Linked DNA regions of Astyanax mexicanus. The protein of the gene in region 1 purifies or fractionates together with the protein of each later gene. This does not show direct contact. Links are inferred from orthologs where the notes say so. Each region holds a gene or a part of one and is shown in the gene's direction. Other genes may lie near its edges.

Evidence for each region.
Region 2: the proteins of irak1 (region 1) and peli3 purify together in Homo sapiens (affinity purification with western blotting; 7 studies listed by BioGRID and IntAct, with this or other methods). This does not show direct contact. The link is inferred for Astyanax mexicanus from reciprocal best matches to the Homo sapiens genes IRAK1 and PELI3.
Region 3: the proteins of irak1 (region 1) and irak3 purify together in Homo sapiens (co-immunoprecipitation; 3 studies listed by BioGRID and IntAct, with this or other methods). This does not show direct contact. The link is inferred for Astyanax mexicanus from reciprocal best matches to the Homo sapiens genes IRAK1 and IRAK3.
Region 4: the proteins of irak1 (region 1) and toll-interacting protein purify together in Homo sapiens (affinity purification with western blotting; 11 studies listed by BioGRID and IntAct, with this or other methods). This does not show direct contact. The link is inferred for Astyanax mexicanus from reciprocal best matches to the Homo sapiens genes IRAK1 and TOLLIP.

The regions. Positions count from the first base shown.
Region 1 is NC_064419.1:4,121,264-4,128,806, reverse strand, and holds the start of irak1 (interleukin-1 receptor-associated kinase 1), read left to right. Parts: upstream 1-3,941; 5' UTR 3,942-4,274; coding exon 4,275-4,386; intron 4,387-7,543.
Region 2 is NC_064415.1:31,438,406-31,446,649, reverse strand, and holds the start of peli3 (E3 ubiquitin-protein ligase pellino homolog 1), read left to right. Parts: upstream 1-5,125; 5' UTR 5,126-5,541; intron 5,542-8,244. UniProt on the Homo sapiens protein: E3 ubiquitin ligase catalyzing the covalent attachment of ubiquitin moieties onto substrate proteins. Involved in the TLR and IL-1 signaling pathways via interaction with the complex containing IRAK kinases and TRAF6.
Region 3 is NC_064409.1:10,746,668-10,754,619, reverse strand, and holds the start of irak3 (interleukin-1 receptor-associated kinase 3), read left to right. Parts: upstream 1-4,525; 5' UTR 4,526-4,630; coding exon 4,631-4,745; intron 4,746-4,857; coding exon 4,858-5,034; intron 5,035-7,814; coding exon 7,815-7,855; intron 7,856-7,952. UniProt on the Homo sapiens protein: Putative inactive protein kinase which regulates signaling downstream of immune receptors including IL1R and Toll-like receptors.
Region 4 is NC_064423.1:8,568,561-8,576,604, forward strand, and holds the start of toll-interacting protein, read left to right. Parts: upstream 1-4,858; 5' UTR 4,859-4,956; coding exon 4,957-4,989; intron 4,990-7,077; coding exon 7,078-7,227; intron 7,228-8,044. UniProt on the Homo sapiens protein: Component of the signaling pathway of IL-1 and Toll-like receptors. Inhibits cell activation by microbial products. Recruits IRAK1 to the IL-1 receptor complex. Inhibits IRAK1 phosphorylation and kinase activity.

The DNA.
Region 1 (7,543 bases):
TGAGCTACAGCATGACCATCGTCCCAGAAGAAAGCCTCGTCTGAAGCTCATGCACTAGAAAAAAATATATACTGTGTTGTGAAAAAATCCATCCAGCTGCCTGCAAATGAAGTCTCCAATTATGGACTCTGGAGTGGAATCTCAAAAGCTGCCGTGCTGAAAATGCAGCTGCATCATGCATTAATATGAGGTGTTCATCACTGACCTGAGATCTGGAACCGGGTCCCTGGAGGGGCTGGTCCTTTCACAGTGCGGCACATCCAGCTCCTCGAAGGCCCTCGAAGAATCATCTGTGGGGTGAAATCAGGTAAGGTAAACGTAGTGAGGTGTTAAACCATATATAGCAGTAATCTCACACTCTGCAGTTAAAGTTAAAACGTTGCAGAGCCAGTATATGGGTCATAGATATTTGAGGGTTTTAAAATCTTAAAAACAAGAGTAAATCTTGAGTGTAAGCATTAAAAATCTTGCGAACATGAAAATTCTTATGAAACATTTTTGTTTCCTCATTTGGTGCGACCATGAGTTATCTTAAAATATCTTAATTAATTTTCTTAACATGCTCAACATTTGTTTTACACGTTTCCAGAATTATTAGGTGTCTATAAATCAAGTGTATGCATTACTTAGGGTTTTGGTAAAAACTAATCTCATATTTTCATTCTAAAATGTGCTTAATGTCTTATTTTTTTTATTTATCTTGCAATTGAAAATTTTAAAAAGTATAAACTCGAAAATACTCTCAGCAATGAAAATTATTTAAGATTCAATCATATTTAATGCTGTTATGGTATGGGTTTCACCACGTAATGAGTAGTTACTTTAAATTACTTCCTGTGATTTAAAATTTCTTTAAAGTAATTAATAATAAATACATTTCACACAAAAAAATATTGAAACTTAATTTGATAAGATTCCCCAGAACTGTCAAAAATCACACAAGTAGTTTTTACTTTGTTTATGTACATTTTTTTTATTTAAATTTTTTTTTTTACATATGTTTCTTCAGATATACTTTGTAAATCTCACAGAGACATGTTTTATTCACAATAGAACAAATATCAGACGTTAAAGCTATTTAGAACCTACTGCAGCAATACATCTAAAAAAGGTTGGACAACAAATGGCTGGAAAAGTAAGTAGTACTAATAATAAACAGCTACAATAAGAGCACTTTACAACTTACTCTCGTGACATTAGTATTACAGCATCAATTTTATAATTACTAAAGTAGTTTTGGTACAATGGTACTATAATAATGTAAGATTTAGTAATAAATAAATAATTCAGAGTCCAAAAATAGATTTTGCCAGTTTGACTAGAGTTTTTTTTGGATGTAAAGATAAAAGGAAATTAAAATGAACAGTTCCAAAACAGAGTGAGATCTGTGGCCCAAGGACTAGGCAAAGATTAACCCTCGCAATGTTTGCCTTCAGCTCCATAAAAAAAAGTAAAAACCAATAGCAACTCCCAGTTTGCTGATTTCTACCTGAGCTCCACACTGGTGGTCTGTGAGGACATTTTATCCATTTTTTGGGCCCCTCTGACCATATCTAGAGCAGCAGTGTCTTTCACGTCTGGTGATATTTTCAGTCCATCTGACCTTTAAAAAGATATTATTTAAAAGGTTTCTGGAACATTCGTCACATTTTCGTTCGTCTTTGCTTAGTCCTGAAGGAGTCACACACAAGTTGTAAAGCATGCATCATTTTTTTTTCAAGGACAGATAACAGTCTGACTAACAGTCTGTCCTCTGCTTTAGAGAGATCGGTCTTCACAGAAAAATGCACATATATGCTGCATAAAGTCACTAAAGTCCTAAAAGTAGGTTAGAAAAAAACAAATCAAACAATTGAGACACAAATATTAAACCTGCTTTTTTTTATTAAAAGAATATTATCCAATATTTTTTACTGTATCTGTCAGTGTCTGTGGTTTGGTCACGCACTTGAACGGCTACTGGAACAATGTTTTTAAGACAGATGAGGCCAATATAGAGATTTGAATTATAAATGAGGAGCATTATGGTTGAAGAAAGAAAACAATTTCCAGCACAAAAACCTTATTTTCTCTGTAAAACACGGTTATAGTTTCATGGTTTGAGCCTTTTTTGTTGCATCTGGGCCAGGCCGGATACCAGCACATACCATCATACTGTAAATTTAATCTCAAGTGAATGTGGGTCATGCAGCAAGACAGTGACCCTACACACATAAACATTCTACCACAGGATTGAAGGAATGTGCTTAAAATGTGCTAAAGTGGATGTGTAGGACTGAGCAACAGTTACTGGAAACATTTAGTTGCACTTATTGGTGCACAAAGGAGTCACAACAGAAACTAAAAGCATGTTCACATACTTTTGTTGCTCACAAATACTGTATGTAAGACTGGATATTTGATTTTGATGTGGCTCTCCTTATATACTTTTAAGATATGTGTCAAAAACTGATTAAAGTATAGCTTGTAAGTTCATCTCAGAACACATATTTAGCTTCACTGGCTGTTTTAGTTGCTACATTAAATAGATATATTTGTGTTGCAGACCTAGTCACTACTGTTCTAGAAAGACAGTACATAAATTACTGTAACAGGGTTTCTCCACCATGAACCGCTTAAACCATTTTACACCACCGAACCGCCAAATCTGATTAGATCTCCAGAATTGACTCATGGAGGTGGAATCTCCCTTCATCAAAACATGCTGAACACTCTTACTTTTTACCTACTTCTAGACAGAAACTGAACTCAACCTCTTAAATAAGTGTCATGCAATTTTGCTTATGTCATGCAGTCATGTATAGGACTGGACAATAATTAAATATCAATATTTATTCTGATCAATATTTCAATAACAGTGGTGCAATTGTACTACTGTACTCTACCCAAACAGCATCATTTTGATACACATTTCAATACAGTATGAACCAATTCAGCTGTAAAATTGGTGACATAATGTTAAAAAAAATATAAAAATCATCAAAAAAATAAAATAAAATAAAACATTTTATGAAGTTTAGCATTTAACATTTAAAATAAATACAATTTTGAAAAAAATTGTGATTTATAGCTCTGGAAATAAAATTAAGAGACCACTTCAGTTTCTGAATAAGTTTCTCTGATTTTGCTTTTTATAGGTATATGTTCCAGCAAAATGAACATTGTTGTTTTATTCTATAAACTACAGACAACATTTATCACAAATAAAAATATTGTCATTTAGAGCATTTATTTGCAGAAAATGAGAAATGGCTGAAATAACAAAAAAGATTTTAGGCCTCAAATAATGCCAAAAAACAAGCTCATATTCATAAGTGGAATAACCCTGGTTTCTAATCACAGTTTTCATGCATCTTCTGAAATGAGGAATGTTCTCCTCTGCCAGTCTTGGATAACTTTATGCCACTCCTTGTGAAAAAATTCAAGCAGTTCAGCTTGGTTTGATGGCTTGAATTTGTGTGCCAGGAGTGGCATAAAGTTATCCAAAAGCAGTGTGTAAGACTGGTGGAGGAGAACATGCCAAGGAAACTGTGATTAAAAACCAGGGTTATTCCACCAAATATTGATTTCTGAAATCTTTGCATTATTTGAGGTCTGAAATTTGAGGTCCCCTTTTTGTTATTTCAGCCATTTCTCATTTATTGCAAATCAATACTCTAAATGACAATATTTTTATTTGTAACCACAGTGTTCATTTTACTCAAACATATATATATATATATATATATATATATATATATATATATATATATATATATATATATATATATAGTTAAATCAGACAGACTGATCGGATTTATTTATTTATTAATTCATTCTTTGGTCCATATAGCCCAGCACTAATCACCAATAACTACAGTTTATGTAGATAGAAGTTCACAGCCTGGAAGTGGGCTAGCTAAGTGAGGAAAGAGGAAGTGTAAAACAGTGGGTTATACAGATATAGAGCTTGCTGAAAAAAAAAAAACACACACACACGGAGAGGAAAGTAGCTAACCTTGCCAAGCATGACACAGCATGGCTGTGGGAGAACACAGCCCTGCTAAACTGGGATTCTCAACCAGTCAGTCACCTAGAACGGACGGGAATTTATGTCAAACTCGTACTGCTGCTGGACGGGCTTGGATTACTCACTGCTCTTCTGCCCGCTGGGAGCCGTTCACTCGGTTCACTCCGAGCTCATGTGGAAATAACTCGGGCTGCTTTAGCCACGCTAGCTGCTGAAACATCTTAAAATCTTCCTACAGGGTTTAACACATCGCCCAGCTCCAGAAATGTCCGATATGAGACTTTACAGCGAATATATCTACGATTTACCAGCGGCTGTGGTGAATGAATTTACCCGGGTCATGGATTCGCTGCCTGTTTCGGACTGGCTGAGATTTGGTAAGGATAAATTAGCGTTAACAAAACGTTAAGTTAATTTTTAAGTTATTCAGGGTTATTAAGCCACGTAACTTCGCTTTATTTGAGCTGTTTTAGCTAACTGACACGCTTTAGTTAGCGTTAAGTTTTGATGTAGGTGGTGTTTTATCGAGTTGTGCTCCCCATAGATATGTGCTACTATGTTTTCATGTGTTTTTCCCTAGAGGTGGATAACCCAGGTCCAGAAAGCAAAAATCCATCCCAGGGTTTTGTACCAACTGCCTGGGCGGCTCTTCCGCAGCTTGGCTTGGTTGGCAGTTGGTACAAAACCCTGGGATGGATTTTTGCTTTCTGGACCTGGGTTACTTACTTCTAGTTTTTCCTGATAATTTAGTTAATTTAAGTTAATTAATTAATTAATTTATTTATTTAGTACAATCTGGACTCACACTCATATGGATATATATTTTACTTGAGTGTTACAACCGTGTAAAAAATAAAAATAAAAAAAGTTATAAAAAATATAATAAAAATATAACTATATATATAATAAATGTTTTTAATCACCTAACATATAGTGCTTTAACTTTATTCTAATTTGTACACTTAAACGTACACACTAGGGTAGCACGGTATTAGAACTTGACATGGTATTAGAACTTGACAGAACACAGGTTATTGAATTGTTAGCTAGTTAGCTAAGCTAGCTAACATAGCTTAAAACAGTGTTGTACAAGGCTAGCCTGGCTAGCTGGCTAACTTCCTCAACGTGAGTGAAAGTTAAGGGGTTAGTTAGCCAGTTAGCTCGCTAGGTTATTTAGCTAGCTCTATGACCAATAATAATGATAATTTAGCTAGCTAACTCAACTTACCTTAGTTGTGCTGCTATTAATATTAATTAGCTTAAGTTTCTGACTAAATTATGCCTCTAATTAAACCACTTGTCATTGCTGTTAACGTTACCCTTCAAAGCTAAACATGTCATCTGGTCAAACGACTAAAAGTAGTTTAGGTCAGTTAGCTAATTAGCCTGGTTAAGTGTTGACAGTTAGCTTAGCGTATCTAGATATGTTAAATAGTTAACCCACAGTTTATCTACAGTTTTTGTTTTATTTAAACATCTGCCTAAATAAAGGCTGTATTGGATATTTTAATACACTGTTGCTTTAAAGTTAATGAACCCTCTAGAATTTTCTAGATTTCTGCATAAATACGGCCTTGTTTTATTAGTGACAATCACTTAAAATATTTGTCAAAGCAATATTGATTACATTTTTTAAATGCTGGATATAAACGCAGGATTTGTACGGTCATGAAAAACCTGTAAAAGTAATGGAACTTGAAAATAGCAATTTTCAGTCCTGGATAAGTTTTGGAAAAATAATAATGACCACAAAGTTTTTGAAAAGTCATGGAAATTTGGTCTACAAATCTTTATATTTCCGTTTATAGATGGAGAAAATGTTTTAGTTGATTTTTGGTTTTATTGTCCATGTCTGCACTGATGTTTTAAAAATCGTATGGTCATGAAATTTGCCCGGAGGGCATTACAAAAGTCATGGAAATATAATGGAAATGTATTGATTAAAACGTGTATGAACCATGTAAACTATATTTTTGGGAATATGACACACATAATGGTGTAGTATGGTTTATATCTGGCAGACTAGATCCTTTTTTTCTGTATTATAATATCTCAGGGTAGTTTTGATGCTTTTAAACGGACTAAATCATGGTTAAATCATTATTTATTTACTTGAGAATGGAACAAAATAATGATGTAGTGTGCTTTACACCTGGAAGACTTCTTTTTACTGTATTATAATATCTCAGAGTAGTGTTGATGCTTTTTAAACTAGAATATTGTTGTGTGTAAATGTGAGTTACTTAGTGTAATGGAGAAAATAAATGCCAGGGTAGCTCCATATTCAGCTATTAATGTAAAAATGACACATTTCGAGTAGGCTGAAAATATCATCTTGCAGTTGTGAATGTTTTCAACACTTTATTGCTCACCATTGCAAATCACTGAATTCAGGTGCATAAAGCCAAATATAAATTGGGTAGATAAAAAAAAAAATTGGATTAGATGTTCTCATTTGTAAACCCTCTAGGATTTTCTAGATATTTTCTTCTTCATAAATATGACTTTGTTTTATTGGTGCTAATGTCTTGAAATAATTGTCACAACAATATTCTGTATTCTGAATTCAGGTGTATAAAACCAAGCAGCTAGGCATGCAGATATCTACAAACATTAGTGAAAAAATGGGTTGCTCTCATGACCTCAGTAAATTCCAGAATAAATGAGTAAATTAGGCAGATTTTTAAATAATGGATTGGATATAATAATATATAGTTGTACTTGTAAGTTTGTGAACCTTATAGAATGTTTTAAATTTCTGCATAAATAAGACAATCATGTCTTATTAGTACCAGTCCCTTCAAATAATGGTAAAAATCTTAACAATATTCTGTGATTAAATCATGGATGAAATCAGGATTATGTACTTAACTGTATTTTTGGGAATGGGACAAAAATAATGGTGTTTGGTTTTTACACCTGTCAGCCTAGATTCTTTTTTTATATAATATATAATATCTCAAACATATTACTGAGTTTAATGGAGACAATAAACGCTAATGTAGTAGTTCCATATTTCACACTCAACAGCGGAAACATGACATCAGCTGTATGTGTTTGTGTGTGCGTGACCACATAAGTGTGAGAGACAGAAAAAGAGAGCATAAACTTCAGCATAAATAATAGATAATCTACCTTCTGATCTCAACAGTAAGCATTGCTGTTTTATATCCCTAAAAATAAAACTGCTAATGTATTACCAGACTCTTTCAATTTTGTCACTAGATTAATTTGCCCTCAAAGTTACTGTATAGCTGTAATACCTCATTAAATGAGAAGAGGTGTATACAATTTTTTGAATGGTACTGTCTATATAATATTGTAATGTCAATTCATTGTTGCAGTTGGAGCACAGTTGTTTCAATGTAGTAATGGAAAACTGAACGTTGACTCACTGTCCTTGGTATTCATTTTTTACTGGTAAAAAACTCCAGTTCAGAATCTTTGTAATGCAGTTTTTTTACTAAAAAACTCTAGAAATTCTATGGAAATCTATTAACTTTTTACTAGTAATATTATCAGATCTACAGATCT
Region 2 (8,244 bases), on another chromosome or scaffold:
AAAACAAGCGAAAAAGTCTGTTTTCGTCTTTATTGTTTTAGCAGTGCCCAAACAATGTGGAGAAGGTATTAGTGCCCATGTTGAAGACAGTTTCAACACCTGCCAACTCTCATCCAGGCCACTGGCATAGAAGCATTCCTTCTGACAGAAGCCAAATTAAAGAAGACATTTGAGGCAGAGTCAAGGAGCTCATCTGATGCCAGTTGTACTGCAGACAACTCTGTTCAAATGTCCATCTGTGTTTTTTACCTGTGTGAGTCAGGTTTTTACTCATGTGTATAAGGGAGATGGTGCAGAAATGAATTATTATTGTCCATTACTTAATTCCTCTGTGATGGGGAGCTGAAATTAGCATTGATTAGCTTTTATTTTATTTTATTTTTATGTTACTCATTCTGCCGTCTTACCAGTTATTCTCATAACCCTCAGTTTAAAGTGTGCCTCTGAAAAATCTCTGTTTAAGGGGCTAACAAGCCTAACCTGGACTCCATTTTCAAAAAAACACGCTGAACATGTTAAGATGCTCTTAATGCTAAGAGTTTTTTTTTTTTTTTATTGCGCCCTGGATAACAAGAGGTGTTGAAGTTCAGCACCATGGATAGTTCCAGGAAAGTGACCTGATTGTAGTCTGGGATAATGAACACAGTCTGGGTACATGAAGACCCATAATTGTGAAAATATAAGTTTAAATGTTGTTTTTAAGATCCAGTAGCTTCAATATACAATCAAACAAAAGGAAATTATCCTCATGAATATTAAAGTTCCAGGTTGAGTCGATGCTTTGAAGCTCTGTAATGATTAGACCTTTAGACATAAAGAAATAAACATAATCAGTTTGTACTACCTTAATATGTGTAATCCATTATATTTGGATAAATATTGTCATTGGTTGATATCCTATTTCAAGATGCTGATTGATGCCCTCTTGTAGAACATTTTGATGTGATCTAAGTTAATCAATTACTGATCATACTCATAAATGGTGTAATGTTGTAGCATATGAACCCTGATATATAAACTCAGTTAAACATATTCAAAAACATATGAAATTATTTAGTAAACAAAAATGCGTTAAACAAACCATATAAACCATGAACCATAACTTTAGATTTTAGATTATTCAAAGTGCTTGCTTGCTTAAATGACAGTATTGCACACCTGGAATGTTCAGCTTTCAGTTAACCCTTGTGTGATGTTCGGGTCTGTGGGACGTTTCCATTTTTCACCAAATGATACAAAAAAAATATTTTTTCTAACTCAAACTCATTGGCATTGGCTCATTTTTTGTGAAAAACATATATCAAAACACATTTTCGATAAGCACATACTGTACACCCCCCCAACCATTTATATTACATACAGTATGTTTGGACAAGGGCTAATAAACATTGCTTCATTTGTAAATTTGAAACTAAACAAATTTTCTACTCATATCTTGAGTTTAATTCATTTTCTTTTACATTTTATTAAAAAAATAATAAAAAAAGAGTAGCACTTTTTAAAAGAAATGTAACATAAGAAAGGTAAAGGGCAAATATTAACCATGTAAGCTGTTTATTTTGCTTGCAATTTAGGTGAAGCAAGCATGTGTAAAGCATTTTAATGTAAAATTGCTTAATTTTGCTGAATTAAATACAAGTAACAAAGTAAACGAGTAACAAAAATATGAACACCACACAAGGGTTAACAGCTCTGCTGAACTTAGGAGTTAACTACTTGAATTTCTTGTCCTCTTAATGAGCTTGAGAGCATTAGTTGTAAAGTTGTGAAGAGGTAGAGTGGGTATACAGTGAATAGCTCTATTTGAGTAATATTCTAATCCATATTATGGCAAAAACAACTCAATTAATTAAAGAAAATACTTTAAGAGGTCAGTCACTTTGAAAATATCATCAAGTGCAGTTGCAAAGACCATCAAAAATGTTATGATGAAACTGGCTCTCATCAGGACTGCCCTAGGAAATGAAAACCAAGACTTACCTCTGTTGAAAAGAATTACCAGCCTCAGAAACCACACTTTAACATCACCCCAGATAAGATTCACCTAAATGGTGGTTTGTTTATAAGTTACTACATTTTTCTTTATGTGTTCCTTCATTTTCTTCATATGCCTTCAGTATTAATGTACAATGTAGGAAAAAAAATAAAAGCATTGCATGAGAATATATGCCCAGACTTTTCAGTGGTACTGTAGGTCAAGTAAATCTTAATCTTATTTAAATCCTAAATAGGTGTCTCATGGTCATGGTTATTCATCAAGACTGGGAGTTTTTAAATGACTTCGTGTTTTATCTTAGTCATGCTGTGGTAAATTACCCAACACTTGCAGTCACACTTAACCCCTTCCTGTTTCAGTTACCAGCAAATATCAGTTTAACGTGAATGTGTGAAATGAGCTTGAGTCTTGTGGCTTGTGAGTTTTGGAATCAAGAAAACTGACTGCAGTTGAATCTGCAAATGTCACTTTCGGATTTTTTTTTCTTTCAAATGAAGAACCTTGAATAGAATTTTTGATTGACTATGAAACTCAAGGAAAACTCTTTTTTTCTCATAGAGCAAACTTGCTTACATCCACTCATGTGGTTTGCTTACAATACACATGTTGGCACACATGTAGAGCAAGGCATTCTTGCCTAACGTCATCTTTTGCTGTCTGAGGTTTAAATTTCAAAACACAAATACTGGACGCATTTACCAAGAATATTTAAGGTCAGTTTCTTAGACAGTGATTAAGCCTAGTCTTAGAATTTCCATTGAAATGAAAATATAGGCTACAGCTATAGACTGAATTCCTGTCCAGGAAATGGAGCACTAAAGTTCCCAGATATTTTTTTGTTCCTCCCCAAAAACTGTAGATCCATTAGTGGTGAACTTTTAACATTCATTGTAAATTCAGCACTGAAGCAATGGCAGAATACACTGATCAGACCCTGGTCAAACAATTGTAGTTAAGGGTGTTTTCAGCCCTGCATGTAGTTGTTTTTTATGGTCTGAATCAGTTGATGAGTTTGTTTACTTGGAGAGGTTTCTCCCTCTGTTTGGTTTGATTTCACACAGGCTGAAACGCTGCCCTTTCAAACAGTGTTTTTAATAGGACGCGCAGCACAATTGTACACATAATAAACTTGCTAGTTGCTAGTCTGACAGAAGTGGCCACAGCACAGAACGTGCATGTACACGGCACGGAGCAGAGACAGTGCTTGTTCATAGCTGTAGTAAGCCTTATCAGCAGTTTAGCTCAAATGAAAGGAGTCTTGATTTGATAGTTGGGTCGGATCGAGACGGGATCAAGTTCTCACCATAAGTGAACCGCTTCAGAGTTAATTTGGGAATGAACTGAGACAATTTCCTCTAGCAGGTCTCGGAGTGTGATTACTTTTTTCACACCTGCACAATCGAACCGCACTAAAGTTAAAAAACGGACCAGAGTTGGTTTTAACTGGACCAAAGTCTAGTGCTGGTGTGAAAACGCCCTAAGTTATCATATTTACATTTGTTTAAAAATCTTAGTTTATTTGATACAAACAGTGATTGTTCATTATGTTGTTTCTCAAGACTCAAATACGCTCCTATGGCAGCCATAGCTTAACTAGGTAGCAGTGACTAACCTGAAAAGCGGATCATTTGTATGGCCAGTGGTGGCCTCAGGCTGCATGGTTGTCCCTCAAACATCCTAAGGACACCACTAGGGCTCTTGGATATGTTTTCTTGCCTGTAGCAGAACCCAGCACTACGTTCCATTGTATCTACTTCATCTAAGGGCACCCTTCGGGACATTCTCTAGTAGAGGTGGCACTTCTATAGCAGCACACTTTTATTTTGGGAAGGCAGAAGTCCAACAATAGATACATTCTCAGAATGCCTTGATCTATAGGACACAAGATCTGAATTCATCACAAGAATGTGCAGCCTAAAAGGTACTTAATACTTTTTTCCCGTGAGAAGAGAAGCCAACATGGCTCTTTGTCTTTTTTACACTCTAGAGGGAAATTTAGCAACACTTTTCTGCTGGTGTGTATTGCGCACACTGTTTTTAGTTTCCATTTGTATCATTTCTGTTGCTCATCTCTGATGCTATGTGTGATGTAGTCAGCTGGGCTCATTGTATTGCACAATAGTAAGTACACAGCACAGTCCTCAGTCATTGTGTTCTTGTGAGTTTGTTCTTGCAAAGTAACTTGGTATTACGAACCACATTATTGTCTTTAAAAGCCCCCAACTCTGGAATAACCTACCTGAAGATATTTGAGAATAAGGAAAATTCTTAATGTTGGGGACTAGGCTAAAAATCTAATAGTTAAGTTTAGCTTTTGGTAATTAGCTAATTATTTTTCTTAGATAAAGGCTAAGGCTGCAGATACAGGGGTTCATGGACATAAGGAATTGTGGTGAACTAAAATGCTGGTGCTGTCTTGCCTCTTGCTGCACATGATCATTCAGGTTAGTTGACAGTGGAGTGAGTGGATGCTTATGTTTTTGGGTACCATCATGTCAATGTGCTGAGGATTATGGTGGGGGAGAAGATGTAAATTCTCACAGACTGTAAATTCTCACAAAACAATAGCTCTGTTTGCTCCAATTTTTCCTTTTTTTTCATATCGAGGTATAGTGTGTTATTTTATTTTTTAGATCTTTTAGCTGCTTCGTGTTGTCAGAGAGGTTCTTTTTAGGAGGTTTCTTGATTTTACAGGTCTGGCAGTAATCAGACCTGGTTGTGGCTAGTGAAATTAATCTCAGTTTAACAAAAATGCAGTTAATCACAGTTTTTACATAAATTAAATCATCATTTTAAAAGCTGCTTTTTTATTTACTATTGTTGTCTTGTTATAGTTTGTTTGATAATCTGAATTCTGAAAATGCAAAAAGAAATCTGCAAGGAGGCAAATACACCACTGTATATTTATTTGATTTAATTTGATATGAATTGATATTAAGGAACACCCTTGATTTAGAATTAAACTCGCACTGACTGCTGGCCAATCCTGTGGGAGGGGGGCGTGGCTCTCCCGAGCACGGGTGGGGATAGTGTATAATCAGTGTATCTCCAGCAGCATCAGCAGGCGTGGGCAGCAGCAGGTAGGCGTTGCCGTCCTCGCGCTCTCCCTTTCTCTGAAGGCGGGAGGGGGGGAGGGGGGGAGGCTTTACGCAAGAGTCGTGGTCTCTCCTCCGCGAGCGAAAAGAGAACGACGTGGGCGAGGGCGAAAACCTTCCCTGGACTGTTTTTTTTTTCTTCTTCTTCTTTCGTCTTCTTCCTCTCTTTTCTTTTTTTTTAACGAGGGGAAACGCGAGGTAGCGATGGGCGTGACGACTCTCCGGAGCGAGGTGATGCTCCGTACTGCCGGACTAACGTCCGTTCACGCCGCAGCTCCGTGAGCGATGCCTCTGCCGTGGCGATGCGAAGCACACGACGACGCGCTGTCCAGATCTCCGTAGCGGGCGATGATTCAGCAGCACGACTCCAGATTTTAACAGCACACGGGGACTGACGAGGCAAAACGCGGGCTCGACGCGAGGCGGAGAACAACACAACATCAGCAGCGGGTGAGTAAATAGATAGATAAATAGATAACTAACGGACGGTTAACGGTGTTGGGTTTGGTGCTGGGTTTGGATTTGGTTGGTTGCTGGTCTGTGTGTCCGAGGGCTTTCACGGTTAGTCGGCGTTTTCTGGCGATTTGTAGCGAAATAAATCGTATTTACTGGGCAGAGAATGGACGGAATCCCCTGCGCACGTCCCATAATTTCATCAGGCTTTTAGCTACTCGATTTGATCTTTTCCGTTCCACCTTAAATGGCGCAGCAGTAACAGTAGCTAGTAGTAACAGGGGTGTGACAAAATATCGATATGGCGATATATCATATTATATTATTTGGCGATAGGGATATTTGATACTTTTTTGCATTAGTGTATTTTTGTTTTAATTTTTGTTATCTATATTTTTCTGTAAGCTGTACACAGTTTGAAAAGATTTTAGAGTAGAGACATTTTAACAGGCGCAGAACCGTTCTAATTTTATTTTACAACAGAAAGCTGAGCTATTTAGGTTACTGTGTAACCTGACACACACAAAAACACAATTCCTGTTATTTGCTTATTTGAAAGTATTGAATCCTCTTTAATTAGCTAGACAAATGCTATAAAGTATTAAAGAGAGTTGTTTTGTAGAATATCAAGTATTGTTATATCATCATTATCGTGGGCAAAGTATTGTGATATTATCATATCGTGTGAGATGATGAATTAAGCAATAGTACACAAGAGGAAGTGCTATAATGTAATTTTGGCACTGCTGTGCTGCGGCCGTAGATCAGCACAACAGTACCAATATTAACTTACACATTAAGTTACACAGTGCTTATATTACCGGCTGATAACGGCACTCATAGAATGCCTCTCAGCCAATCACATAGCAGAGTTGGAAATGACTGTGGTATAATTCCCTATGATTTCCTCCCTTTTACACAGTAAAGGTAGTTTAAAAGCTGCACAATTTAAGGTGGAACTGAACATTCTATTTCTAAAGAAGCTTAACTTTAATCTAAAACCGCTTGATTTTCACATTTATAGCTAAGCAAACAAGCTTTATCTAGTCTTATAAGCTGCAACATTTAAAAATAGTTCACTGTTTAATTGGTTTGTGCCAAGTTTGCTGTTTTAGTGTAGTTTAGGTTTACAGTTAGCTAATGCAGCATTAGCTAGCTAGGTTAGCTAGCTAAAGAACAGCTGGAATCATCTTTTCAGTAGTTTATCTTTTTACAGGAATTTTTACACGTTCCACCTTAAATGGCACAGCAGTAACTGTAGTAATGGTAACTGGTAAACGGTAACTGCTGCTCTATTTAAGGTGGAAAGGACAATTAGAATAAGAATAAAAGGCTTGACTGTTTATTTTTTAACCAGGCAAATATGATAAATAAGACACACTTTAAGGTAAAATACACTCGTTTTGATAGTGTTTTTTGCTAGCCTTGCTGTTTTAGCTTGCTAATCTAAGTTAGCTATTTAATGTCAATGCTATAACAGCTAGTTAGCTAAGCTAGTTAGATAGATAGATAACTAACAGTCTGGTTGGCAAATCATGATAATTATGGATAGTTAGTTAAATAGGCAGAGTGTCAGCTTAGCCAGCTAACAGATGACTCTAAAAAAGGGCAAAAAGGCAGTTAAGAAATTGTGAAATGTCCTGTGTTGTTTTTTTCCCACGTTCAACAGTGTCCTTCCTCTCTCAGTTTTGCTGTGCTGTGTGTGTGTGAAAATGTCTGTGTTTGTCTGTGTCTGTGTGTGTGTGTGTGTGTGTGTGTGTGTGTAGTCCTGTAGACGCAATGCCGTGCAATCCGTCGTCTCAAAGCACACATGCTTCTGGCGATGCAAGCTGGAGAGCCCAACCGTAATACCATTACATAATGACCATCACAGCCCTCATAGTTCATATTTAGTCCTCTATTTCACTTGTAAATCCACGGATGATGAAATATCCCTGAGGTACAACCCTGTTTGTGAGCACTGTGCTACAAAAAACGTGGCAACAGCTGCAAAATGGCCAGCATGAGAGGTTGCATGTTGCTGGAGGCCTGGAAAGCGCTTCCCTGCACAATCCTGGTATTATGTAATGTTCTTAGATTATCCTATATCTAAACATCATTTGAAGCATATTACAGATGATTAAATGTGATCCTGTCTTGTGTCACAGGGCTCACAGTGATGTTTATGGATGCTGAGCTCTTGTTATATCTGACTTTCAGAGGGACACATCTCAAAGGAGAAATCTGATCCTAACACAAGGGATAGCTCATTACAGTGCTGGACAATAATTCAAACACATGAACAACATCTATTATGTAGTGCTGGGCAGTATGACCAGAAATATATATCAGAGTATATTTAAAAATTCTGAGGGTTTCACAGGATATCACAGTATTTGTATTAATAAATATTATTGTTATTTACTTCTTTTTTTTTGTTTTTGCATGACTCGAATTTTATTGATATTTGTGGCTTATTTTACTGTCAGGAGACTGTATAATATAAAACAATAAAGTTTTAATTTACTATAGAGTAGGAGTGGGCAATATGGCCCTAAAATAATATCACAATTTTTGTGGTATTTTTTCACGATACTCTTGGCAATATAACAAACACTGAATTAAAAAAAAAACCAAGAATACTCTACTGCAACAAAATGAAATTTTAATTTTATTATTGCATACGATATGACATGGTACACCCCTAACTGATTATATTAA
Region 3 (7,952 bases), on another chromosome or scaffold:
GGGTCTAAAATACAAATTCTGGCCACAAATGTTAACCCATATGTCCCACCATATTCAATAGAGTTCAGGTAACATCTATATGTTATGGACTTTAATAATGGAACCAGCAGTCTTACTACATCACCTTATGCAGATTTAAGATAGATAGGTAGATATAGATAGGTAGATATAGATAGGTAGATATAGATAGGTAGATATAGATAGGTAGATATAGATAAGTAGATATAGATAGGTAGATATAGATAGATAGATAGATAGATAGATAGATAGATACTTTATTCATCCCGAAGGAAATGTAGGAAATGCTGCCATTTGATTTTGTTTGTCAGAATTTCCCAGTTTCATGTAAGAACTTCAAGTGGAATACCCCCTTAAGTAACATTTCCTACTTGGAAAATAGGGAGAGCACCACCAACCCAGATTTCACAATCCAACATGCCTGCCCCACATAATAATTTACCATTACTTATATTTGTTTGTGTCTCATTAAATCAATGGTACACACAGTACTGTCAAGTTTTTAAGTGTGGACATTGCTATCGCTAACAACTCTAACCTGGAACAATGCTAACAGTGGTAAACTAGGATGTAAAAGGTAATAGATATATTAGGTGGGAACTAAGCAACAAAAACAATAAGGTATTTTTGGTTTGTTTGTGTTTGCTAAAAACTTTGAACCAGATGAATGTAATTTAAATTGTGTGTATTGCAAATATTTGTCACATTTTATTCAGTAGTATATATTTAGTACATTTATTTATATATTTTTTTAAAACCAAAGAGATATATTCATGATAATATATAATAATATATAATATAATATAATATATGATCACACACTGGAATGTGGCAGATATAGATTAAAACATTACATAGATCATCACAATCATGGTAAAATTAGGGTTTTAATCTAGATTTAAAACCAGACAAGAAAGGTGAGGACCTATTGTCCAGTGGTATACCTACTTACTTACTGGTTACAGTAGTATAGTTAAGATAAAAAGAAACAGCATGTTTATCACCTTTTCTTGTGGTCACAGAAACAATTTAATCAACAATTTAATCTTATCAATTGATCTAAGAAGTGGAAGTGGATACTTTAACAGTTGCGTTCAAATATTAAGATTCTTTACCTGAGGCCTCACGTAGGCAGTATCTAATGCTGTTATGGTGTATACCCATCCCTAAAAATGTTTCCATACAAATAACAACCATTTACATTTACAGCACTTTAATTGTATGGGTCTTTAAAATCTAAATATGTGTTGACTGTTACATTTGAACAAGAAATGAGAGAAATCATTTAGTCATTGTAATCACTGACGAGCGAGCGTCATGGTTTAGATCATCCTGCTGTGCTTGATGTTGCAATTTGACGTATTAACACTACTTACTGATAGATAACTTTCTTTGGCGCACAAATTATGTTCATATGTCTGTGATGGGATTTTTCTTTCATAATCTTACTTTGTAATTTCAAGGTTAATGGCACTACTTTAATGTGGTTATGAATGCTACTGATGTTTTAAATACTTTTAAGCACCAAGTTTATCTACTATACAATTGAGGCCTTCCAAGAAAACAAATTATAGTTTAAAATTAGGTTAATTTCTTTTCTAGGTTTTTTTATTTTAAGTGTCTTTATGGATAAAGAAATATATCTCTAAATTAAGCACATTTTAGTTGTTAATGTAAAAAATATTCCTCCCAAAAGGGAGATATGTTTAATACATGGCTTTTTGTTGGAAGGGCTCAATTTAATTTAATTAAACTAAGAAAATAAATATTTTTTTATTACTGGGGTAAACTTACACTATGTTTTTAGTTTCTATGACCTGTGATCTGTGCCAAGTAACACTTTCTTCTCGGGTAAATAAAAAATAAAAAAATAATAAAGTTAAAGCCTAAAGCTTCAGAATGTTTATGGTGTGTTTCTATCTCATTTTCCATTTCATCCAACCATTGCCCTGCTTTTAATACTGTTATGTGATGTTTAACAAACTTAGCTAGAGATTATATTAAAAAAACAAGGCTCTTCTTTTGGAAAATGTGAACCAAAATAGGAGGTCAGTCAGCTGAATAAAAGAACATAAGTACATGGCTGTGAAATATTTTTACACTGACATACCAAAAGTCATGGGACAGCAGTATTTAAATTGAAGTCATGAAGTGTTAAATCAGAGGACTGCGTGGTAATGCCCACACCTCTATAAGATATACACACCTGGGTAAGGTGTGATATGTTATTTTGTGAATAAGGTTAAACAATATCCAGCAAACTCTCGGCAAGAGGATGTTAATTTTTAGAGTTCAAACAAGGCCTGATAGTTGGTGCCAGATAGATCGGATTTTCTTTTTTTTTTTTAAAGCTGTGCAGACATTTAACATTCTTCAATCCACAAACAGTGTCACGTGAACCTGGAATACATCATCAAAGCTATTGCCACCCATAGTGGCCAGCTCAGTGGGTATGGAATGTGACTGGTAGCGTCTGGATAGAACTGTCATTTAAGTTACTTACTACAGAAATCACATCCACATTTAATGCTGGAGCCCCATATGCATACTGTGCAGGACATTAGATCCTTCAGCTTGTGACAGCCAATGTATATGTTTCATTCTTGACCTGTGACTTTTGGCATGTCAGTATACTATGGAAACTATTTCCCCGAAAGCCTTTCTACTCCAAATTTATATTACAAAGCTGTCTCTGATGGCGGTTGTAAATATATCTGATTCCGCGCTGCACTGATTTTCAGTTTTAGTAAGTTTGTGATGATAATGCCCTATGATGTGGAAGTGGTTTTCCCCTTGTGGTGAATCTGATATGACTGATATGAATATATATGTGTATGTGTACGTTTGCTCATTTATTTTCAGTTCTATACATCATAATTTTACTTTCTAGGGTCTTTCCACAAGGTTTTCTTAGTATTCCAAGGCTTATTCTTAGCCAGCATTCTAATGTCAGGCTCTCATGGGTGGAACATAGGCTAGGTGGGTTCCAGGTGGGCTCCAGGTGGGCATGGGCTCTGAGTGGTTTTATTTATGCAGTGGGCATGGGCTCTGAGTGGTTTTATTTATGCAGTGGGACCAAGTTAGGCTTCCCAAATGGACCCCATCATTACAGCCCACCTTAATCTTACATTGGTCCCATCTAGGCCCTATGTGTAGTGTACAACTCAGAAAGGCCATGATTAACCCCTCCAGGTTCCATTACTGACCCTGATAGGGTCCATTGCTGACTTCTACATGTGGAGTCCACATGGAACCTGTTTCGTTTACCAATTATATACTGGAATTTGTTTTAAAATGATCACTGGTACACACTCAAAAAAAAGGTAATAAGGAAATAAGATACCAGGTGCAGTAAGTTTGGGGATTTCCATTTTCCACTAGCCTGCAGGTAAAATGTGAATCATCAATTTCACAACTGACTGATTCTCAACACCCTCACAAGCATGTTGAGAATTTGTGAATGCACTTTTATCTTTTCTATTGGTCTATACTAGGTATATGTGTACCATAAACTGTACACAGAAAGGCCTGCAATCAGAGCACACCTAATAGAGTATGAATAATGCTGGCACTAATACATGCATTATTCATGAAATGTCTTCCCTAATTTAATACACTAAAAACAGGACATCAAACATATTTGGAGTGGTTTGGTTGGAAACAGAAAATAGTAGAGGAACAGTTTGGTAACTAAATGTAAAACTACTGGTAAACTCCCATGTGCCTTTGATTTTCTGTCCTGCACATATTTAAAAGCAAGTTTTAAGCCAAGATCTTATCTTGTGCTATTGTTATGTTACAATAAACCTGATTTGCATAATGATGAACAAATAAGGTGTGTGCTTACATATGATGAAGATTTTTATCTAGGAATAATCCTTGTAAATGTTCGATGAACTATATATAAATTAACAAGATGTAATGTTAATGCATACTTTTGGATTAAATATGGAGGCGAAACTGGGAAAAAGTTCCTGGCAACTGCTCGAAAGTCAAATTGTGAGTATTTAAAAAAAAGGAATAAATGATCAACAGCAAGGTACATCTCAATATAAGAATTTACTCTCAGTCTGTGCCAGGTTGAATGATAATAATTTGAATGTCTCAATTAAATAATAATCAAATATGTTATAATTTTTTTCATTAAAATATGATTCAAAAGGCAGACAGACAGACAGTCTATAGTTATTTCTAATAGTGCACCTGCTATAATGATTGTAATTTCTTAATAATAGTGTAATCAAATATGATATGAAAAAAAATTGTTTTGTTTTTGTTCATTAAAATATAATCCAAAAGGAGACAGACAGACAGACAGACAGACAGACAGACAGACAGACAGACAGACAGACAGACAGACAGACAGACAGACAGATAGATAGATAGATAGATAGATAGATAGATAGAACAGGTGTCTATAGTCATTTCTAACAGTGCGCCTTCGCGGCTGTTTCTAGGTTATTGACGCATGCGCATCACTGACTGTGGCTTTTAGGAAGTGGGCGTTTCCTGGGCATTTCCAACTTAAAGCAACATCTCTGACAAACAGCGGAGAAGAACTGAAGTGTTCACCGCGCGCAGCTCTCCTCACACATCCTCACACATCTCCGCCATGTCCTCCAGACTGGACCCCTCCACATACCTGTTCGACCTGAACCCGCTGCTGATGGACAGGTTCTGTAAGATGATGGACAGCGGGCCGGACAGTCTGGGCTGGAGGGGGCTGGGTAAGACTGCGCTCTGTAATCGGTAGTAGGAAGGAGTTAGAAGTAAAGTTATTAAGTACCGCTACTTTGCGCTCTAAAGCTGCTGCTGCTGAACTGGTTTCTGTCTCCACAGCTGCCCGGATCCTGCCCAGCCTGCTGGAGGTGAGGCACACGGAGATGCACGCCGCCGCTGGCAGAAGCCCGACCCATGAGATGGTGTGGTCCTGGGCTCAGCAGAACAAAACTGTAGGGGATTTAATTCGGGTTCTGGAGGAAATGGGACATTACCGAGCTCTGAATCTCTTTCAAGGTAAGCTTTAGACTTCAGACTGCTTCACACTTCAGTGAGTTTTCTCTATTTACGTCTATTGACGTCATTATTAACCACAAACACCTCTTCACTCTTCCCCTTTGTCATTTTTAGACTTAGTATTCACGAACTCGCTTCATTAACTACTGTAAACATTTTAAACATGTATCAATTGAGTAAGAGCTTAAAAAATAAAAAAATAATGATGCTTTATTTATTTAGTGCCTTTCCTGAAACCTCGAAGCGTATCAATTGAGTAAGAGTTATAAATAACATTAAAATAATGCTTTATTTTTATAGCACCTTTCCTGAAAACCCAAAGCACTTAACAACACAGCATTAGGTACAATGCCTAAAAACAAACTGCCCAGGTCTCCCGGAAGTTGCAGGAGTCTACCACATATCCATAACATCTCCCTCATGCCCGCAAGTCAGATAAAATCTCCCAGAATCTACTACAAGCCACAAACGCACATGTAGGCTCCCCTCATGTGCATATTCATGAAGCGCATGCAAAACAGAGAGGGTTCTGATTGGTCTGTTCTCTGCAAAGAGTTTGCTAAAGAGTTCAGTAAGTAAGAGAAGGAGCATCATGGCTCCCATCAAAACTCATCACACCTCTTACTAAAAGATAAAAAAAAGTCTTGCCCTCTCTACAGTCAGTAATAGTGATTTTAGCATTGCCCACAGGGGACTAAATGATTGCAAAAGGCATGTTGAGGTGAGGTAATGTATATATAATTCATTTTTGCAACTTGAGATGTGTGCATAAAAACCAGCGTGGCATAGAAGCACAAGAATAATTCAGGGGAAAAAAAACATATACATGTAACAGATAAATGATGTGTTGTGGTCTCTGAGTGCTCCAGCGGTCTACAATGCTGCCACTATGATTGGAAGATTGCTGGTTTGAATCCAGGTCATGCAGCTTGCCATCAGTCGCCGAAGCCCTGAGAGAGCACAATTGGCCTTGCTCTCTCTGGGTAGGTAGATGGTGCTCTTTCCCTTCATCACTCCTAGGGTGGTGTCGATCAGCATAAGGCATCTGTGAGCTGATGTATCAGATCCGAGTTGCTGCGCTTTCCTCCAGAGTGCGCTGTGATGCTATTTGGCAATGCTGCTTCTGCAGCAGTTTGAAAAGAGGCGGTGGTGAAATAATTTCACATGTGTCAAAAGAAGGTGTGTGCTAGTCTTTCACCCTTCTTATTTTGTGGGATCATCTGTGATTGGGGATATACAGGTGACTAGCAGCTGAATGGGTGGGAAAATTCTCCTAGCTAAATTGGGAGAACATGGGAAAAAAATGTTTAATACATTTAATTTTAAAAAAGTGGTTTGGTTTGGAATACTCTATATTAGGAAACCTGAAAATAAGAAGAGGTAGAAAGAGGTGGTGATTATAATAACCAGTCATCCCAACACTTTCTACATTTTATTTTCTGTTAAAGTCACATCGCAGAAAGAGTTTACATTAAATGATTATGAATACAACAACTTTTAAAATGAACTGACAGTGGAAAGATGCATCCTGGTATTGTATTGTGGCTCCCTGCAGTGAATGTGGATGTGATGTCTGTCAGAGATACTTTTCTATTCACATAGACAATCCTAGCAAAGGGCCTCTGATCACGATCATTACCACTCACTGTGGGCAGTAAAAGCCTTCTGTGATGTATTCCTGATTCACAAGTGTCACTGTGGTTTGAGGAATGTCAAATGCCCTCACAACTTCACAAATGTCATATCCCACTGCACCCACTATTAGGCCTCGCTCAAAGTAATTCTGATAGCCTTGTTACTGTTGCTTTGCCATGAGCATGCTGGCCTAGTGTTCAAATTCACTCACAAGATAACACCTCACAAATGACACAAATTATTGGTGGTGTGTTATCTCAAGCTGTCCTCTGAGGCAACACCTTATAATCCATTAACATACTGTGTTTTTAACAGTGTTTTTCTAAATCAGAAAACTTGTGTATGATTCGTTTGCGGATAGAAAATGAATCATGTAAAGAAATTAGAGTCATTAAGTTTTTCTGCAGAATCAGTGAACAGCCAGTTTCACATATTAGACATCAGTGACATCATTAAAATTATACTGAAATTAAAAGAAGTACAGTATTTTTCCATTGCAGTAGTAGGTAATTAAAGTACTGGGCATTAAGTGTGTTTTAACTGTGTAAAGGGTTTAAATCCTGTGTTTCTGTAGGCAGGGTAGCCTGTATGCATGACCAGATGTGAGAGTATTTGCAGACTGTGTTTATTTGGCATGCTGTTTCAGAACAGCAGAGTTTTTCCACATGTGACTTTCCCTCCCTCATATTGTTGGTTAGATTATTTTACAGTTTGTGTTTCAGTTCCACTTTGTTTCTGTGTATGAACATCCTCTTTCTCACGTAACTACTACAACTTAGAAATGTATGATCCACATTGATGGGGCCTATTTATAGTGTTTGTTCTTAAATAATAGTATTTCATAAAGTTTGATGAGCAGATTCAGAACAGAATATGCTGAGGTAGGAGAATTGAATATAATATTTTTTAATAAATATTAATGATTCATTAAAAATATATATTAAACATTTAAACACCCTTAGTGCTCCTGCTCAAAATTAAGTGACACTAAAAGTGTTTAAAGTGTAATAAAATATACTAATTAAATATCACATAATAATTTGTGGCGAGGTGTGACTGACAGGTCAACATGTGTGTGGCCAAACTGCTAATTTGACCTGACTGTTGGTATCACCATTTTATTTATTTATTTTTTTCATTTTTAGACACTTCAATTCCCTTCTCAACCTCTCTCGAATATTCAAAGGTATGTAAAAGTATTTGTAGTTCACTCATGTTTTATACACTGATGTCTTCTCGGAACCCAGAGAAATTATCACTGAAATGTTTTATATTTTAAGCAC
Region 4 (8,044 bases), on another chromosome or scaffold:
TTTTGCATATTCATGAGAAAAGATCTCATTTTATAGAACACTGGCACTTATTTAAATGCTTTGTTTTGCAATTCTAGCCCAATAGGGAAAAGAATTTACTTAAGAGCATATAAATTGTACTTGTTTTCTATTGTGTACTTTGTAAGTTTTATCAAAAAAAAAAAAAAATGGGCACCATTTTATTTATTTCTATTTGTTTTTAAGGGTGTGTTTATTTATTTATTTATTTTTTAAGTTTGAGGGTGCATTGTGTCAGTACCTAAACTATGTTGGAGAAAGCTTTCTAAAAGTCACTAGATGTTCTCACTGTTTACAATAGTTTTTTTTTTGCTTGTTTCTGGTTGCACTTTAACCACAAATGGAACATTTTAAGTGAAAACAAATTAAATAAGAACTAGTTTTAACCATTTCTTTATCATCTTTAGTTTGATTTTTAGTAGGGGGAAGAAAACGATTTAAATCGAAAATTGGATTTAAAAAAAAAAAATCTAAGATTTTTTTTTTTCGGCCATATCGCCCAGCTCTATACTCTAGTTTAGAGGTTTTTTTTATAAAACACACCTAAGGAAAATAGCAGGTATTAATAAAGCTATTGATTCCATACTTTTAAAAAGGTAATGATTTTCTTTAACTATATAAATGTTTTAATCGTTTTGTGTATTGTATGCTTTTAATTGCTTCCTGTTTTGTATTTGTGTTCATGTACTTAAGGCTTTAATCCTTTTATCTTGATATTGTTTATCTTTTGATGTTTATTAATTACTTAACTGTATTTATCTTTATGTAGTATACTGTTAGTGTTTTAATCCATACACTTTTTGTATATATTTCTTTTATTGCTTAGTTACTTGCTTTATTAATGGTTATTGTATTGGTGTTTTAGTCTTATTTTGGGCTTATATTCATTAAAAACATTTTAACGTTTGTCTTTTAGTGCTTTAATCAATTAATATTGTACTTACCTTTTACTATTTTACTATTAATCTTTCTGTACTTAATTATATATTATTTTTTATTTATTTTTTTATAAAAATTAAAGGCGGGTTTATTAATTGTATGTCTTTATACGGGATTTTATATTTGCATTGTATGTATTTTTGTTTCATTTAATGTTTATGCTCTTTGTCTTTTTCAGATTTTTACATTTTTAATTTGTGTATTGACCCAAGGAGTATGGGTTCCTCTCAAGGTTTCTATCTCTCTTTCTGAGAGAATTTTCTTTGCCGCTGTCTCCTTTGTGCTTACTCAAAAGAGGTTTGGACACTTTTTTTTTTTTTAACTGTTCTTAATTTTGTTTGTTTCTTAACTTTGTCAATAAATGTTTTTTTTATTGCTATCACTTTTGTCTGTTTATTTGATCACACTATCGCTAAGTTTCTTGAAATGTGTTTATGGAAAAAAATTAATTTTAATATTTTATTAAATGTGGATTTGATGCCCACATTCAACCACTTTTTAACACTTCAACTAAACACTGAAAGAATAAATCAGAAATTATTGATTTATTATTAATGTAATGAACAGAGATGTTCTGAAGTTAAAAGCTGATTATCCCATGTGTCTCATATTCCCAAATATGATAAGGTTGATAAGGTCATGTCAGCTTCAAGGACAATTTCAGTTTTGTATTTCAGTGAAAGTTGTTCCTTTAATTGAATTTATATAAATAATGTATCTGGTAATATACAAAGGCTCTCAGTGTTGTTACACCTTTTTGTTTTACTTAAAACCAAAGTGTAATTTTCAACAACTCGCCTCTATGTGATGTTTGACCACTTAGGAATTACACTGACATTACTTCTACAAGTCATGGGATAGTAGGTTTGATGCTGATCATGAAGTGTTACCTCAATGTATTGGCCAGTAATTTATTATTGAAGGTTATTCATTCAAATTTATTGTGACTGGTGGTCTGCCTACAATTGTCTGTGCAACTCTGAGAAATATCTATATACAACTTTTAAAGCGATTAAAGCTTTGGGATTTACATGTGCAAAATTAAGCCCTGCATACAGAAATATACTGATAACTTTCTGATGCTTTAAAAAATAAGAATCAAAGGAATCAAATTCCAAAAGATAAGCATTAGCATTTCAGAAGTACTGTCCGAGGTCAGCATACACACTAGAAAAACAGAGAAAAAAAAATCACAGTTCTTACAGTCTGCTTGTCTTACCAGGTTCCATGAGACACTGCAGTATCCCTTTATTCATCCAATAACATAAATTATACATTAATAAAACATCTGTTTTATTAGAAATACTTGTTCAAATTACAAATTAGCACCCACAACTCCACAGAGGTTGGAGGACCATAATTTAATATAATTATATATTTAAGTTACATGATTTTGAGCATATTACTACATTATTTTGCCTTTCAAAAAATGCCAAGTGAGCAAATCAAATCTAAAACTTTTTTTTGTTCCCCCTCTGCATGTGATACATAGAGATCAGTAACATCTTTCAGTAAAAATGGTCTGTAAAAACAATATGAAATTTGAAAAGGAAAAAAATACAAGCTACAAAAAATGTAACTTTCAAAATAAATTCATGGTGATCACTTGATTATGACTGAAATGGACACCTGCTAAAACCACATACCTATCCTTTTGGTTTGAGGTAAATCTGTCTACCACAAACCAAAATATACAATTACAGTAGAGGAATCCTGCTTTAAGATATTTGGCCTCAGATGCATCAGTAGCACTTTACAATTAATTTACATTGTTTAACCATACTTATGTTAGAATGCCTCAACTAATTATTATTATGACACTATTTAAGATATTAATTCCTACAAAATGTTAAAACTGATATCGCAATTCATCTTTATTTACAACATTCTTAAGCATTACAATTTAGAAATGTTAAATAATATTTACCACTTAATTAAAACAAAAAGTTTTAACAAAAGTTCTGACGCTTTAAATGAACACTGTCAAAATTAAATCCTTCTCAGTAGTTTATCGGTTTGGGTCCGCATTGGACAACGTCTGCATATATGTGATCCCTGGCCTCGACCATATACACGGTTTTGTTTTATCAAACCACTCCTTGCTGCCCTGCAGAGAACAACAGGTTCAATATTCAGTTTTACAGTGTTAAATATGTCAGGTCAAGAAATACTTTCTTTATTTTATATTTTTTTTATAAAAACAAGTATTTATGTTAAGTGAAATCAAGAAAGACCATATTTTATTTTTTATAAAAAAATTATTTATGTTAAGTTAATTCAAGAGAAATGGTCTTTTAATTTTATAAAAATAAATAGTTCAACTTTAAATGTCTAGAGATACATTGATGCTGTTAAAAATGCATTTTCCAATAAAGGGAGTATTGGTAAAACTGGTTATAATTTTTATGTTAAGGCGGCGGGACGTGGTGTGTGCAGCTGCTTAAAGTAACTAATAAAGTAACTTGTAAAGTAACTTAGTTACTTTTAAAATCAAGTAATCCATAAAGTAACTAAGTTACTTTTTAAAGGAGTAATCAGTAATCGGATTACTTTTTCAAAGTAACTATACCATCACTGGACAGGAGACAATACTGGCAGACAGAGATTGTAAATGGTGGATAGATGGAGAGATAGATAGATCACTTTATCCCAGATTATTAATGGCAAGAATAGTAGTAAATATATTTGCACTCAAGGGAAAACTTAATTGTTCCCTCAAAGGTTTCAAATTGGTCTTTACCGGTTCAGATGTGTTCCCTCTAAAGTACAAAGTCTTTCCTATCAGCAGGGAGTACAGATTTGTACCATTTAACCAGCCAAAAGGTAAATTCAGTATTCTGTGCCATTGAACTTATAAACAAAATATAATATTGTTATAAATTTTTAATTTAGAAATGTATGAAAATTTTGGATCTTCTTGACACATATATTTAGTTGATGATGATGATGTTTATAATCTTTACTGTACAAAAAACAAGGTACAGCCCCAGCGAGAAGCTTTGTACTCTTTTTTCTTTTCTTAGTGTGAGAAAGGAAAACAAAATATTTATATATATATATATATATATATATATATATATATATATATATATATATATATATATATATATATATATATATATGCTGCATATGTATGTGTATCTGGAAAGCGCATATTAATAGATAAAGTACCAGTATCAGTAGTACCAGTTATGTGGTACTTTATAATGAGTGGAGACTGAGGGCGGTATCAGATTGTAGAGTGTAGAAATGGTCAGTAGAGGGAAGTATAAGACAGTTAACGTCAGTGTTCAGAGGGATGCGTAGGAAAGCAACTTATGTATACATTTTGACCTTCGGCTACCCACAATTCACTGTCCACATACAAAACAAAGTAATAAAAGAAAAATAGCCCAACCAAAATTGAGCAAAAATGTAAAAAAAAAAAATTAAAGTGTTGTTTTTTGTGCTGTCAATATTAATAAGCATTTTAGTTTTACTTTATTTATTAATTTATTCATTTTAGTACAGAACATATGTGCTTACAGGACAATACAGGTATAATATGTCAGACATGGATCTTTGCATCCCCTCCAAAGTCCTTATACAAATCGTACTCATCGCCAACCGATTTATTACACTAAATTACACTTTACATTTTCTTCACATCAACTGACCCTAAAGGTGACCAATACTCACAGACACAACCCGAAAATGACCAGCAATATCTCAAAATCCTCACAAAGTGTGGAACAACATTACTAAATAATCAATACTAAAATCACATTACTGCACGTTATACCCTTCATTGAGGGTCGCGGGGGGGCTGGTGGAGCCAATCCCAGCCGGCTGGCACGATACACCCAGACAGGCCGCCAATCCATCGCAGGGCAGACCTGAGACGGTAGGGGGCAGTAGCGCTCAGTAGACTCTGATCTCCCCGGAACAGCCGAAGATCTCAGTGTTTACCTGAATCATCTGCTCGGTTCTGATCCAGAAGCTCCTCAGTCTGCAGCTGAAATGGCCACAACTATCAGCACACAGCGCGGCCAGGTGAGCTCACCTGTCCTCATTTACATACCGCAGCACAGCGCGGTGTATTAACCCAGCGGTGTAGCGGGAGGATCTTCATTAGTAACAGCGCTGATCTGTTACTCAGCTGATCCTCATGACGACATCAGCTGCTCCCTGCTAACAGGCTAACAGCTCAGATATAATACTACAGCGATATAACTACATATAACAATTTATATAACACTATATTTTACTTATATACAACTACATATACAATAGCTGCTCCCTGCTAACAGGCTAACAGCTCAGATATAATACTACAGCTATATAACTACATATAACAATTTATATAACACTATATTTTACTTATATACAACTACATATACAATAGCTGCTCCCTGCTAACAGGCTAACAGCCCAGATATATTACTACATCTATATAACTACATATAACACTACATATAACTATATATTTAACTACAAATATATATATGATGCTCCCTGCTAACAGGCTAACAGCTCATATATATTACTACACCTATATAACTACATATAACACTACATATAACTATATATTTAACTACATATATATCAGCTTCTCCCTGCTAACAGGCTAACAGCTCATATATACTACTACACCTATATAACTACATATAACACTATATATAACTATATATGTAACTACAAATATATCTGCTGCTCCCTGCTAACAGGCTAACAGCTCAGATGCACCACTACAGCTGTATAACTATGTACACAACTATATATACCACTATATATAACACTATACAACTTCATATAACTACATATACATCTACTGCTCCCTGCTAACAGGCTAACAGTTCAGATATACTACTATAGCTATATATTACATATAGCTCTATATATAACACTATAAATCTACATATACATCAGCTGTTTCTATCGTTTTTAGTAAAAATAATCGTTGACTTATCGTCAAATTAGTCGACTACCAAAATAATCATTAGTTGCAGCCCTAATATATAACACATTTATATTACTACATATAACACTATGTATAACTATATATAACACTATATTTAACTACATATAAATAAATATCACTATATATACCTGTGTATCACTATATGAAACTTAGTTACATAACAACTGCATACAACTACATAAAACTACATATATACCAGCTGCTCCCTGTAAACAGGCTAACAGCTCAGATATACTACTACAGCTATATAACTACATATAACACTACATATAAATATATATCACTATATATCCCTCTATATCACTATATGGAATTTAGCTACAGATTACTATAGGTTATATCACTAACGGTATATATCCCTGTATAGCACTGTATGTATCTACATATAACTGTATATGTATAGTGTGTGGGCTGGGTTTATGTATTGGTTAGCTGGTTGTTAACTGAGCGAGGCTGCCACTCCTAAACAAACACAGTCACGGAAATAATAAAACTATAAATCAGGATTTCTCCCCTGTGTTTCTGTGGGAGACTGAACCACACTGAACAATCGTAAATGAACCTGAGCTTGTGTTATTAGTTTACTGTCGGAGTGTTTCAGCACAGATTATTAAACAGGGTTTAATATTTTGACTCAAACAATTCTTAAAACACATTGAGTGGTTCTTGTTCAGCATATTTCAGATAGTAAAATATAAAAAAAAAAACTTCTAAACTATCCACGCAGCCCATCAAGTGAGCAGCAGCATTTACAGCGTTTGTGCATGTAAAGGATATTTTTATAAATATAATTATAATTTTTATAAAGAATCTTTATTGTCATTATTATTATTATCATGATGATTTGACACAATGGCAATAGCACAATGGCAAAAGCATGCTGTACAAATATTATATACAAAAATACAGCCAAACTCCATTAAACACCTGTGGCCAGAACTAGGCATCCAGCATCGGTACCTGACCTCACTGATTCTCTGTGTAAAGAGTGGATTCTAATATCTTTAAATATAACACAAGAAAACCGAACTGTGTAGAAAACACACACACACACACACACACACACACTTAAGGGATTTAGGAGATTCAGCAGCACACACACATCTGTCTGTCTCTCTATATCACTGTCTCTATCTGTGTAAATCTCTGTATACAATCAGGTGTATATTGGGGAATTGCCCCAGGACTTTCTGAGGATCACCCCGACCCAGCAACAGCAGCAGGTGCAGATGGACGCTCAGGCAGCCCAGCAGCTCCAATATGGCGGCTCCATTGGAACAGTGGGCCGACTCAGTATCACTGTGGTTCAGGTACTTTCAACCTTTAAACTCAGCAGGGCATGGAGGTTGACCATCATTTACAATGTAGCCAAGCCTGTATACTAAAATATGTTAACGTTTGATATATTAAGTCCTATGGTTAATCCATGGCTTACACAGAGAGTGGGGAGCCGTCAGAGATAGGGTATCAGGAATATCAGGAAAGATTTGTAAAAAATATCATTAATGTAGTTTAAATATCAGTTTGTTTATAAATGGTGTTTTTGACAGTGTTTCTTACAAAAGATAATAGAGTTTGCAGACAGAACAATTGAACGTGATTATCAATTTGTGCTAACTTTAAGATCCAATAATTAGAAGTAGCTTTATTGTTATGACTGCTATGAAAACAATATTGCTAAAGCATTAGAGCAATAACAACAAAAAGGACAATAATCTCAACCATAGTGATAAGGCTACTATTTTCTAAATGAATAATGAAGATTTTGGTACATTTTAAAAATATATTAATTATATATTTATACTTCACATCTATACATATAAACTATAGGTGGAGTTGCCCAGATTAAGGTTAGTCTTGGCTTATCCAGCATTTTGAACATTGTATTAAAACCATTCCCTGGACAGCAGAGACAGGTACTCTAACAAAATCAGGATGAACCTTTCCTAAAATTCAATGAATGAGCAGATGTCCCAATAGCGTATTCGCTGTAACACCTGTAATCACATTATATAAGATATCTATTTATCGTCGCTGTCCTATGAAAAACACTTATCTCCATTTTTGTCGATTTTTAGTTTACTACATAAATTGAACAGACAAACTGTCCCTTACACTGTGCCAAAA